Linked DNA regions of Nothobranchius furzeri. The protein of the gene in region 1 purifies or fractionates together with the protein of each later gene. This does not show direct contact. Links are inferred from orthologs where the notes say so. Each region holds a gene or a part of one and is shown on either strand. Other genes may lie near its edges.

Region 1 (4,456 bases):
TGATGCGGACGCTGAGCCGATCTGTCGTGGTGAAGAGGGAGCTGAGCCAGAAAGCCAGGCTCTCGATTTACCGGTCGATCTACGTCCCAATCCTCACCTATGGTCATGAGCTTTGGGTAATGACCGAAAGAACGAGATCGCGGATACAAGCGGTCGACATGAGTTTCCTCCGTAGGGTGGCCGGGCTCAGCCTTAGAGATAGGGTGAGGAGCTCGGGCATTCGGGAGGGACTCGGAGTAGAACCGCTGCTCCTCCGGATCGAAAGGAGTCAGTTGAGGTGGTTTGGGCATCTGGTCAGGATGCCTCCTGGACGCCTCCCTGGGGAGGTGTTTCGGGCGTGTCCTGCCGGCAGGAGGCCCCCGGGTCGACCCAGGACACGTTGGAGAGGTTACATCTCCAATCTGGTCCGGGAACGCCTTGGGGTCCTGCCGGAGGAGCTGGTGGAGGTGGCCGGGGAGAGGACGGTCTGGAGCTCCCTAGTTGGGATGCTGCCCCCGCGACCCGGACCCGGATAAGCGGAGGAAGACGACGACGACGATGTTTGTAGATGGAACCAAAATAATGTTACATCAAAACAATCAACAAAAATTTGCTCAATCGTTTCTCCCTTACAACCACAAAAAGTACAGATGTCAGAGACATTTGGGAAAAAAATACAGATGTTCGCTTTTGACGGGTAATATCTGTGTACAACTTTGAACAAGACTTCTTTTATCTTATTCACAATCATGTATTGGTGAGGAAGCAGAAAGATCCTGTTCCATGGTTTTGCATTCATTAAAGTCCATCGGTGTTTACATATCGGTGTTGATACGGGGTCAATTACTTTTCTAATAACAGAATTATTACATTTCTTATCTGTAATTAAGATCCCAGAAATAGTTGGAGGTCTGACTGCTGCAGATAAGATAATGTTTGATTGTATGGTCTCTGCTAAAGAAAAGATACTAACAGGGATAGATGTTATACTCTTCTTTTGAAGTCTTAATATTATATTTTTCTATGAAGTCTTTGTGCGATAATATTTCACCATTAGTATTTAATAGATTATTCACAGTGTTTACATTACTTAATGACCAATTTTGTAGAAAGGGTGTTTTGTTTTGACATACTATGTGTGTATTGTTCCAAATAATACAATTGTGAGGAGAGAAGTTGTGTTTAAAGATAAGATTCCGACATAACAAAGATTGTTTATGAAAATTACTTAATTTTATTGGGAGTTTTCCTACTGAGAAAGGATATATTAACAAAAAGTTACACCTAAATGTATATTTGTGCACTTTAAAATTAAGAAGAAGAAGAAGAAGAAGAAGAAGAAGAAGAAGAAGAAGAAGAAGAAGAAGAAGAAGAAGAAGAAGAAGAAGAAGAAGAAGTGTCTGATTCGAGGCAGAAGGTGGCGGTATTGTCCCTTTGACCGACAACTGTTACAATCAGAGAAGAAGAACGTACTTCTGTTTCCTGTCAAACATGGCGGCCTCCGTGTTTAATCGATGTGTAAAAGCAGCCTTGAAAGTTAAACGTGTATCTCCGTCTCTTACAGGTAAACGCGCCTTCCTGCAACCTACAGGAAATTTGATAATTCATGTTTTTCCTCTTGGTGTTTCAGAGTTTCAGATTTAGAATAAACCGAACGTGTTCCTGGTTGTTAGTTAACGAGATGCTAAATCGGTTCGTCTTTTTTTGTAGCCAAACGATGGTTGCTGTCTCCAGCTTACACAGACACCAAACTGTGGGAGGCGCGAGAAAAAGACCCACAGAATCTGGGTAAGTTATAAATGAATAATCTAAAAGCCCACCTGGATTGTCTGGATTACGGAGATTACCTGGTCTTTTACAGTGAACAACATTTCAACCGCTTCAAGACTGTCCTCTTCATATGTGTAAAGCATAAGAAAACAACAAGGACATCATGTCAGGTGTTCCACCACCATCTAATAATTGTTAAATTAATATAAAAACTTTACTGAGGATTAACCTGGAACTATAAAATATTTTTTGTCAATAACAAAAACAGTAACTAAGCAGTTACTCCGATAATTGGCACCTATTGACTTTTGTTGTACCTTTGATTAAGATGTAACCCCATTTAATATGCGAACGTCGGATTTATTTATCAAAATTGTGGATATTTTTTGTGTAAAACTCCAATTATGAGACCAAAGTTATTAAAAAGATTTAGTTGAGCCAAAAATGGCAACATTTGTGCAGAAATGGACGGAAGTGGGCTGAAGCTGGTGTCTTTGTTGTTGTTTTTTTCCTATAATTTATTTATTGAGCAGAGACAGTAAATGTAGTTTAATTATTGGATTGTTAAATAAATTAGGTGTATTAGTTTTACTCTTTCTAAAGATGAATACTAAATTTCTTTAAAAGGCAGCGATCAGTAAACATGGATTTAAAGTCAAATGTTCAGTTGCCCGTGTTGATATGTAACACAACATGAATAAATGTTCGATGAAGATTAAATTCTTATGTTTAGTTGATTATTGCCAGCAGCAGGTGTTGCTGCTGTTGTACTGTATGACCACCAGGTGGCACTGCAGCGCCTTGGTGGTGTTAATTGAAAGCTGACAGATATTAAATTAAATTTGCACCTTTGATTTATTTTTTAAACGTAAAATTAATGGATTAAATCCCCATTTTTGTTGAGTCACTTTCTTCATGTCATGTGTTGCAGTCTTTTTATTCTGAATAAACAATGTTTGATTTCTCGTGACCCTAATCTTTCTGACCTCCAGCTGTTCTAGCCGATCTGATGGACCGAACGTACGACAGGAACCTTCCGGTCAGCTCGCTGACCATTTCACGGGTAAGTTGCATTTACATCCAGGTCACTCATTTGCTTTGTGTTTTTTTATATAGCAAACGAAACATTTGAAGTAACCCTTTTTTTCTCTGTGTTTCAGTTTGTTGACAACATATCATCTAAGGAGGAAGTGGACCAAGCGGAGTATTACCTGTATAAGTACGAGGGACCGCTTCTGCTTATTCTGTGTCTGTGCTGAATCTCAGCTGCTCCCTTGTTTCTTGTGTGTTCTTGGACTGCGTTGTCGTTCTGTTTTATGTTCAGTCACACGGTTCTCTTTATCGGAGCCAACTCCAGACCTTTCTTGTTTTCTCCTTCCTCTGGATTCTACACCTCCTCTTGCACTGACTTGTTTTCAATCACACCTTTGTTTAGGGAGTGTTTATTTTAATGATCTAGTGTGAATTTAAACTAGCATAGCATGTAATCTCTTCCTGTGATTGATGAATACAATAATTTTTTATTTTATTTTTTGCATTCTAAGGTTTCGTCATAGTCCGAACTGTTGGTACTTGCGAGATTGGACCATTCACGGTTGGATCAGACAGTGTCTGAAATATGGAAGCCGAGAAAAGGCCCTGCACACTCTTAAGAACAAGGTACACCCCACAAAAGTTTTAATGTAGTTTTTATAAAATGATGATGTAGGCGGTTACTGTAGAGTGCAGATGATGCTCAGGTGAATAACCAGTAAGGAAATGGGTGGATACACTCTAAAAGCTGCAGTTACCCCACAGACGGGTCCAGTGTTACCACTCAAGCACGTATCATGTTTATGAATGAGCTGCTGCATTTCTAAAACTCAAAGATCATGCTTTTATTTGGGTAATAAAACTGATTTGACTGGGGATGCGTCAGAGATGAGATATTCGTATGTCAAATGTGCAAAAAGGATCATTTAAGCTTACACAGATGGTGACCATTATAATGTCGTATATTAAATGTTTCCAACAGGTCCAGTATGGAATATTCCCTGATGACTTCACCTTCAACCTGCTGTTGGATTCTTACATCAAGGATGGAGACTTTAAAAGTGAGTCTGCTCAGAACAAAAGGTCACATGGTACAAACCGCTGCAGGCAAGCACATATTTAGACACAAATGTTCACTTTCACATCTCTAAACTCAAATTCCTGAGCTCTTTGTGTCCGTTTTCCCCCCCAAAAAAACAAGTGAGGAGGAAGTTTGATTATTTTCCTGTTTGATAACAGCAGCCGGTAAACAAAGCAGCATTGTTTAGACTTTGCTTTATCCTTGTAAACAGAGTTTTTGTTTACATTTGTTGGCGGGATTGTTGTAAATGCAGGCAGGGATGATATAAAATTTTCAAAACGGAAAATTAAATCTATTATTACATGACAGGAAAGTGTGTGTGTGTGTGGGGGGGGGGGGGGGGGCATTTGGAATCGTTTAATAAAAGAAGATTAAAAACATCAACGTTAAGAAAACTGAAAGCAGTTTTTCTCAATTGTAGGACATTCGCTGTAGGTACTCTAGCGCAGTGGTTCCTAACCTGGGGGCCCGACCCCCACAAGGGGGCGCCAAAGCCTCTCAGTGGGTCGCCAGGACCTCTCCACTTTAAGGGGTTAAAACTTCATTTATTACTTGTTTATAGCCTACATTGTGCTCACATTTTTTTCATGAGTG
Region 2 (4,294 bases), on another chromosome or scaffold:
ATTGGAAACAACTTTTCGTTCAAACCTTTGCCACCAATCATATTCATTTATATGGTCACCACCACAGTGAATCCAGGTGGCTCCAGCTCTACACCAGGCGTCTCTGAGTAAACTTGTGTGGCTCCCAGGCCAGCTGCATTTCTATAATGTTGGAATTTTGTCTCTACAGCAGGAAGTTGGTTTAGATAAATACTTTTAAACATTTTATAGATATAGATATGTCTACTTTAGACCTGTTTGAACAAATATATATATATATATATATATATATTTAATTTTCAAATGTGGAGTCCTCTGTTCTACATCCTCTACTCTCCCACCAATTAGCATCACATTACCATCTCATCGGCTCTGATGACCCATTTCCTGATTTTTAACCACCCCACCACTCCAAGAAGAATCTCAAAATTTCCTCTCTGCCTCCTGTCTTCTCAGAGGGTCCGTACTGTTCTACACATTTCCATTCATTCTTGCTGAAACCCTTTTATCGTACATCACACCTGACATGTTTCTCCACCTATTCCTGCTTGAACACGATTCTTCACCTCTTTTCCACACTCTACTTTGGACTATTGAACGTCCCACTCAAAAGCACTCCTGACCCCTGTGACCTTGAGTCCCTCTCATCCACACATGTGCCTTGGTGTATTATCATCATGAACTGTTGACATGTGAATCAAAGTGATACAAATAGTAATAGTATTTTGTACGTTTGCGTAAAAGAATAAAAAATACAAAATTTTGATTTCCTATAAATAAACCTGTAAGATCCAGTTTTCCTTTCACTTGAAATCATCAACGAGCTATGTCATTGTCATGTCAACCCAGTAATAAAACATTGTCCAGACTAATCTCAGCAGAAATCATTCAGATTACACATATCTGCATTGCTGTGTTTCTACAATGACTCTTCTCAGGGCAACACATGAACTGTCAACTGTTTACGTCTTTGAAGGTTTTCAAAGCTCCTTAGACTGTCAACTGTTTAATTTCTAGATCATGAATAATATTCCTACTCTTTGATAATTATGTGTTTTCTTCTGACAGCGCTCTGTTTGTTTTTTCTTTATACTGAATCTGTTATCTCCGTTTGTCTGATTTAAGTCTATTTTAAGTATTTGGACACCAGGATATATGTGTCAGAGTGAGACCTCGTCTCACCGATGTGGGGTCACACTGTTGATTTTCTTCTGGAACTTTTTATCTCTTTCTGTGTGATTATTCATTGTTTATTCGTGGTTACTTAAGTATATAAGTGCATTACTCTTAATTCATTATCCTAAACAATTAATCGTTTAGTAAATAACATCACACCGGAACCAAAACTTGTAACTATTGTGACGTCACCTCCGTCAAGGAAGTCCCTGCTCTACCCAATGTCATGTCGCCATGCTGAGAACGCTTCAGGTGTGTGTCCGTCGTCAGGTGTGGAGGAGCGTCGGTTCCGTGGCCGCTCCGGTTAGAAGGCGGCCGACGCGGGGCCCTGCCCCCGTGACAGGTCGCTCTGTGATCCGGAACGAGGTCCGAAGCTGCACCGTGGATCCAGACCTGGAGGAGCAGTTCGTATTCTTGAACTGTTTAGGTGGGTGACGTTTGTGCTGCACGATGGTGCTGCATCAGAACCCCAAAACGACTTTTATGGTTCGTTAACATGATCTAAATGTCCTGTATGTGTATATGGCGCGGTATGGGGGCCAAAATTAAGACTACTGCCCAGCAGCAGGAGGCTATATAAATTACGAAGCAAACTACCGGATCTGATTAATGATAAGCTGGCACCGGTAACTGAGAGGCTGGCGCTGCTTACTGAGAAATAGCACCTTTACCGGCGTTACTACTAGATACGCTAGGGACTAGCAGCCCTCGGCTTGTCATGACTGGATCACACACTCCCTGTACTGTTTATTAGCATGGATAGGCTAGCATTAGCCTGGACAGGCTGGTGTTAGCATCGGAGAGGCTACCGCGCCTTATTTGTATAGCGCCTTCTGGGGTTCTACAACCCCCCAAGGCGCTTTACAACACAACAGCCATTCATTCATTCACACACACATTCTTCACACACTGGTGGTGATCATTGTAGCCACAGCTGCCTTGGGGCGCACTGACAGAGGTGAGCACTGACACAACCGGTCCCTCCAACCACCCCCAGCAGGCTAGGTGTGTTAAGTGTCTTTTTAACCCTCCCACTGTCCTAATGGGTGTGACCCCGCGAGGAAAGTTGACCATTGAGCAGGATTGATGGTTTATCCCTTGCGGTCCATGTGGCAGGGGTGAGGTGGTGCTCACTCCTCACCCCTGCCACATGGACCTCAAGGGATAAACCATCTACCCTGCTCAATGGTCAACTTTCCTCGCGGGGTCACCTATAAAGACAGTGGGAGGGTTAAAGGACGTAACGACTGCAGCAGACTGGGTGGGACGCGATCTCGCATAAAGCTTAGAAGGGTCCTGAGGGGTGTGGTGATGGAGTACGTGGAGTCTGCTGTAGATGTTAGAGAGAGAAGTTCTTTCAGGTGTGTATGTGTTTTACATTCAGTCAGGGACAGGAAGCCAGTGAGGGAAAGAGACACGTGTGTTCGTGCTTCAGAGCTCTGAAGAGACGGCTCTGCAGTGGTTCCGATGAGGTCCAGTCAGGACAGAGCTGAAACTGATTCAGGATAAGTTGTAAACGTGTCTCAGGTGCTGTTTAGATGAGCCAGTGTGGAACAGGTACAGCAAGGTTTGGATCTGCAGAATCACCTTGAGTTGTTCTTGTCTGTCCTGGTCCAGACCCAGAGAAGGATCCTCATCAGGAGGAAAAGCAGCTTCTCCAACAGCTGACAGACTCCCAGACCTCTAGTGGATCTGGTCCAGATGATCCAGTACCTCCTCAGAAACACCAGAGGGGTTTGGAGCGTCAGCTTCAGGTGTTAAAGGGAGCATCTCTCCAGGAGTCGACACTGGATTCCCTCATTCAGTTCCAGGATGTGGACTTCCCGCTAAATGAGAGCATCATAAAGTCCACAAAAAAGAAGAAAAAGCCAAAAAGTGAACAGAAGATTTTTGGGACTCCGGACCAGGACGTTCCAGTTGGGGACACCTGCTGCTACGGCTGTGGTGCCATTCTGCACTGCTGTGTTCCCAGCCTGCCGGGTTACCTGCCCAGTGAGAAGTACAAGGCGCTGCTGCAGGAGGGGGGTTTAAATGGAGCCACCTGCCAGCGCTGCCACCTCATCACGTACCACCACAAAGCCCTGGATGTGCAGCTGTCCCGGGACCAGTACAGAGAAGTGGTGCAGCAGGTCCGAACCAAGAAGGCTCTGGTGCTGCTCATTGTGGACCTGCTGGACCTGCCTGACTCTATTGTGCCAGACCTGCCTGACCTGGTGGGAACCAACAAGCATGTTGTCGTCCTGGGCAACAAGGTGGACTTGTTGCCAAGAGACTCGCCCAACTACCTGCAGCGCATCAAGAAGCAACTGGGCCAGTACTGTCAGGATTCCGGGTTTGGACCTCAGGTGACCGATATCCATCTGATCAGTGCAAAGACTGGGTATGGGATCGAAACCCTGATCTCCAGCCTGCAGCGCTCCTGGAAGTACAAAGGGGACGTGTACCTGGTGGGAAGCGCCAACGTGGGCAAGTCAACGCTCTTCAACACGCTGCTGGAGTCCGATTACTGCAAGTCCAGAGCTGCTGACGTGATCCATAAAGCCACCATCTCCCCATGGCCTGGTTAGTGCCAGAACCAACTCACATTTCACCTCATTTGTTGCCTCAGATATTTTAATGGTTCTGAACCCAGTCCCTGAGCAGCACAACACATTTCACCAATCAGTCAGTTTTCAAGTTGTCTCCTCTTTCTTCTCACTCTGCTTCCTTCAGGGACCACTCTAAACCTGCTGAAGTTCCCCATCATCAACCCGACTCCGTACAGGATGTTCAGACGCCAGGAGCGCCTGAAAGAGACAAAGCAACAGGAGGAAGCGGAGCTACCACCCAAAGAGCTAAAGAGGCTACAGACGCTCCGTCGACATGGATACTTAGTGGGTAAGAGGGGTGGGGTGGGGTGGGGGGGGGGGCAGGATTACATGAGCCCCTTTTACCTGTTCACCTATCCACCTGTTCAGGTCACGTTGGACGCACATTCCTGCCCAGACAATCCAAAACAGCTGAAATCGAGTTTGACCCGGACAGTTTGGCCTTCAGCGAAGATGACGATGGAAGTTTGACAGCAACCGGTGAGCTGTGATTAGATGGAGAATCTGTGATGTCATCCACTTTGAGCAGCATTATCATGTGACAGTCAGAC

The links.
Region 2: the proteins of mrps27 (region 1) and noa1 purify together in Homo sapiens (co-immunoprecipitation; 3 studies listed by BioGRID and IntAct, counting the BioPlex papers as one, with this or other methods). This does not show direct contact. The link is inferred for Nothobranchius furzeri from reciprocal best matches to the Homo sapiens genes MRPS27 and NOA1.

Annotation. Positions count from the first base shown.
Region 1 is NC_091757.1:53,262,957-53,267,412, forward strand, and holds the start of mrps27 (small ribosomal subunit protein mS27), read left to right. Parts: upstream 1-1,395; 5' UTR 1,396-1,470; coding exon 1,471-1,543; intron 1,544-1,689; coding exon 1,690-1,767; intron 1,768-2,741; coding exon 2,742-2,812; intron 2,813-2,909; coding exon 2,910-2,968; intron 2,969-3,293; coding exon 3,294-3,408; intron 3,409-3,763; coding exon 3,764-3,842; intron 3,843-4,456. UniProt on the Homo sapiens protein: RNA-binding component of the mitochondrial small ribosomal subunit (mt-SSU) that plays a role in mitochondrial protein synthesis. Stimulates mitochondrial mRNA translation of subunit components of the mitochondrial electron transport chain.
Region 2 is NC_091741.1:64,625,833-64,630,126, reverse strand, and holds the start of noa1 (nitric oxide-associated protein 1), read left to right. Parts: upstream 1-1,344; 5' UTR 1,345-1,389; coding exon 1,390-1,582; intron 1,583-2,772; coding exon 2,773-3,717; intron 3,718-3,867; coding exon 3,868-4,032; intron 4,033-4,112; coding exon 4,113-4,223; intron 4,224-4,294. UniProt on the Homo sapiens protein: Involved in regulation of mitochondrial protein translation and respiration. Plays a role in mitochondria-mediated cell death. May act as a scaffolding protein or stabilizer of respiratory chain supercomplexes. Binds GTP.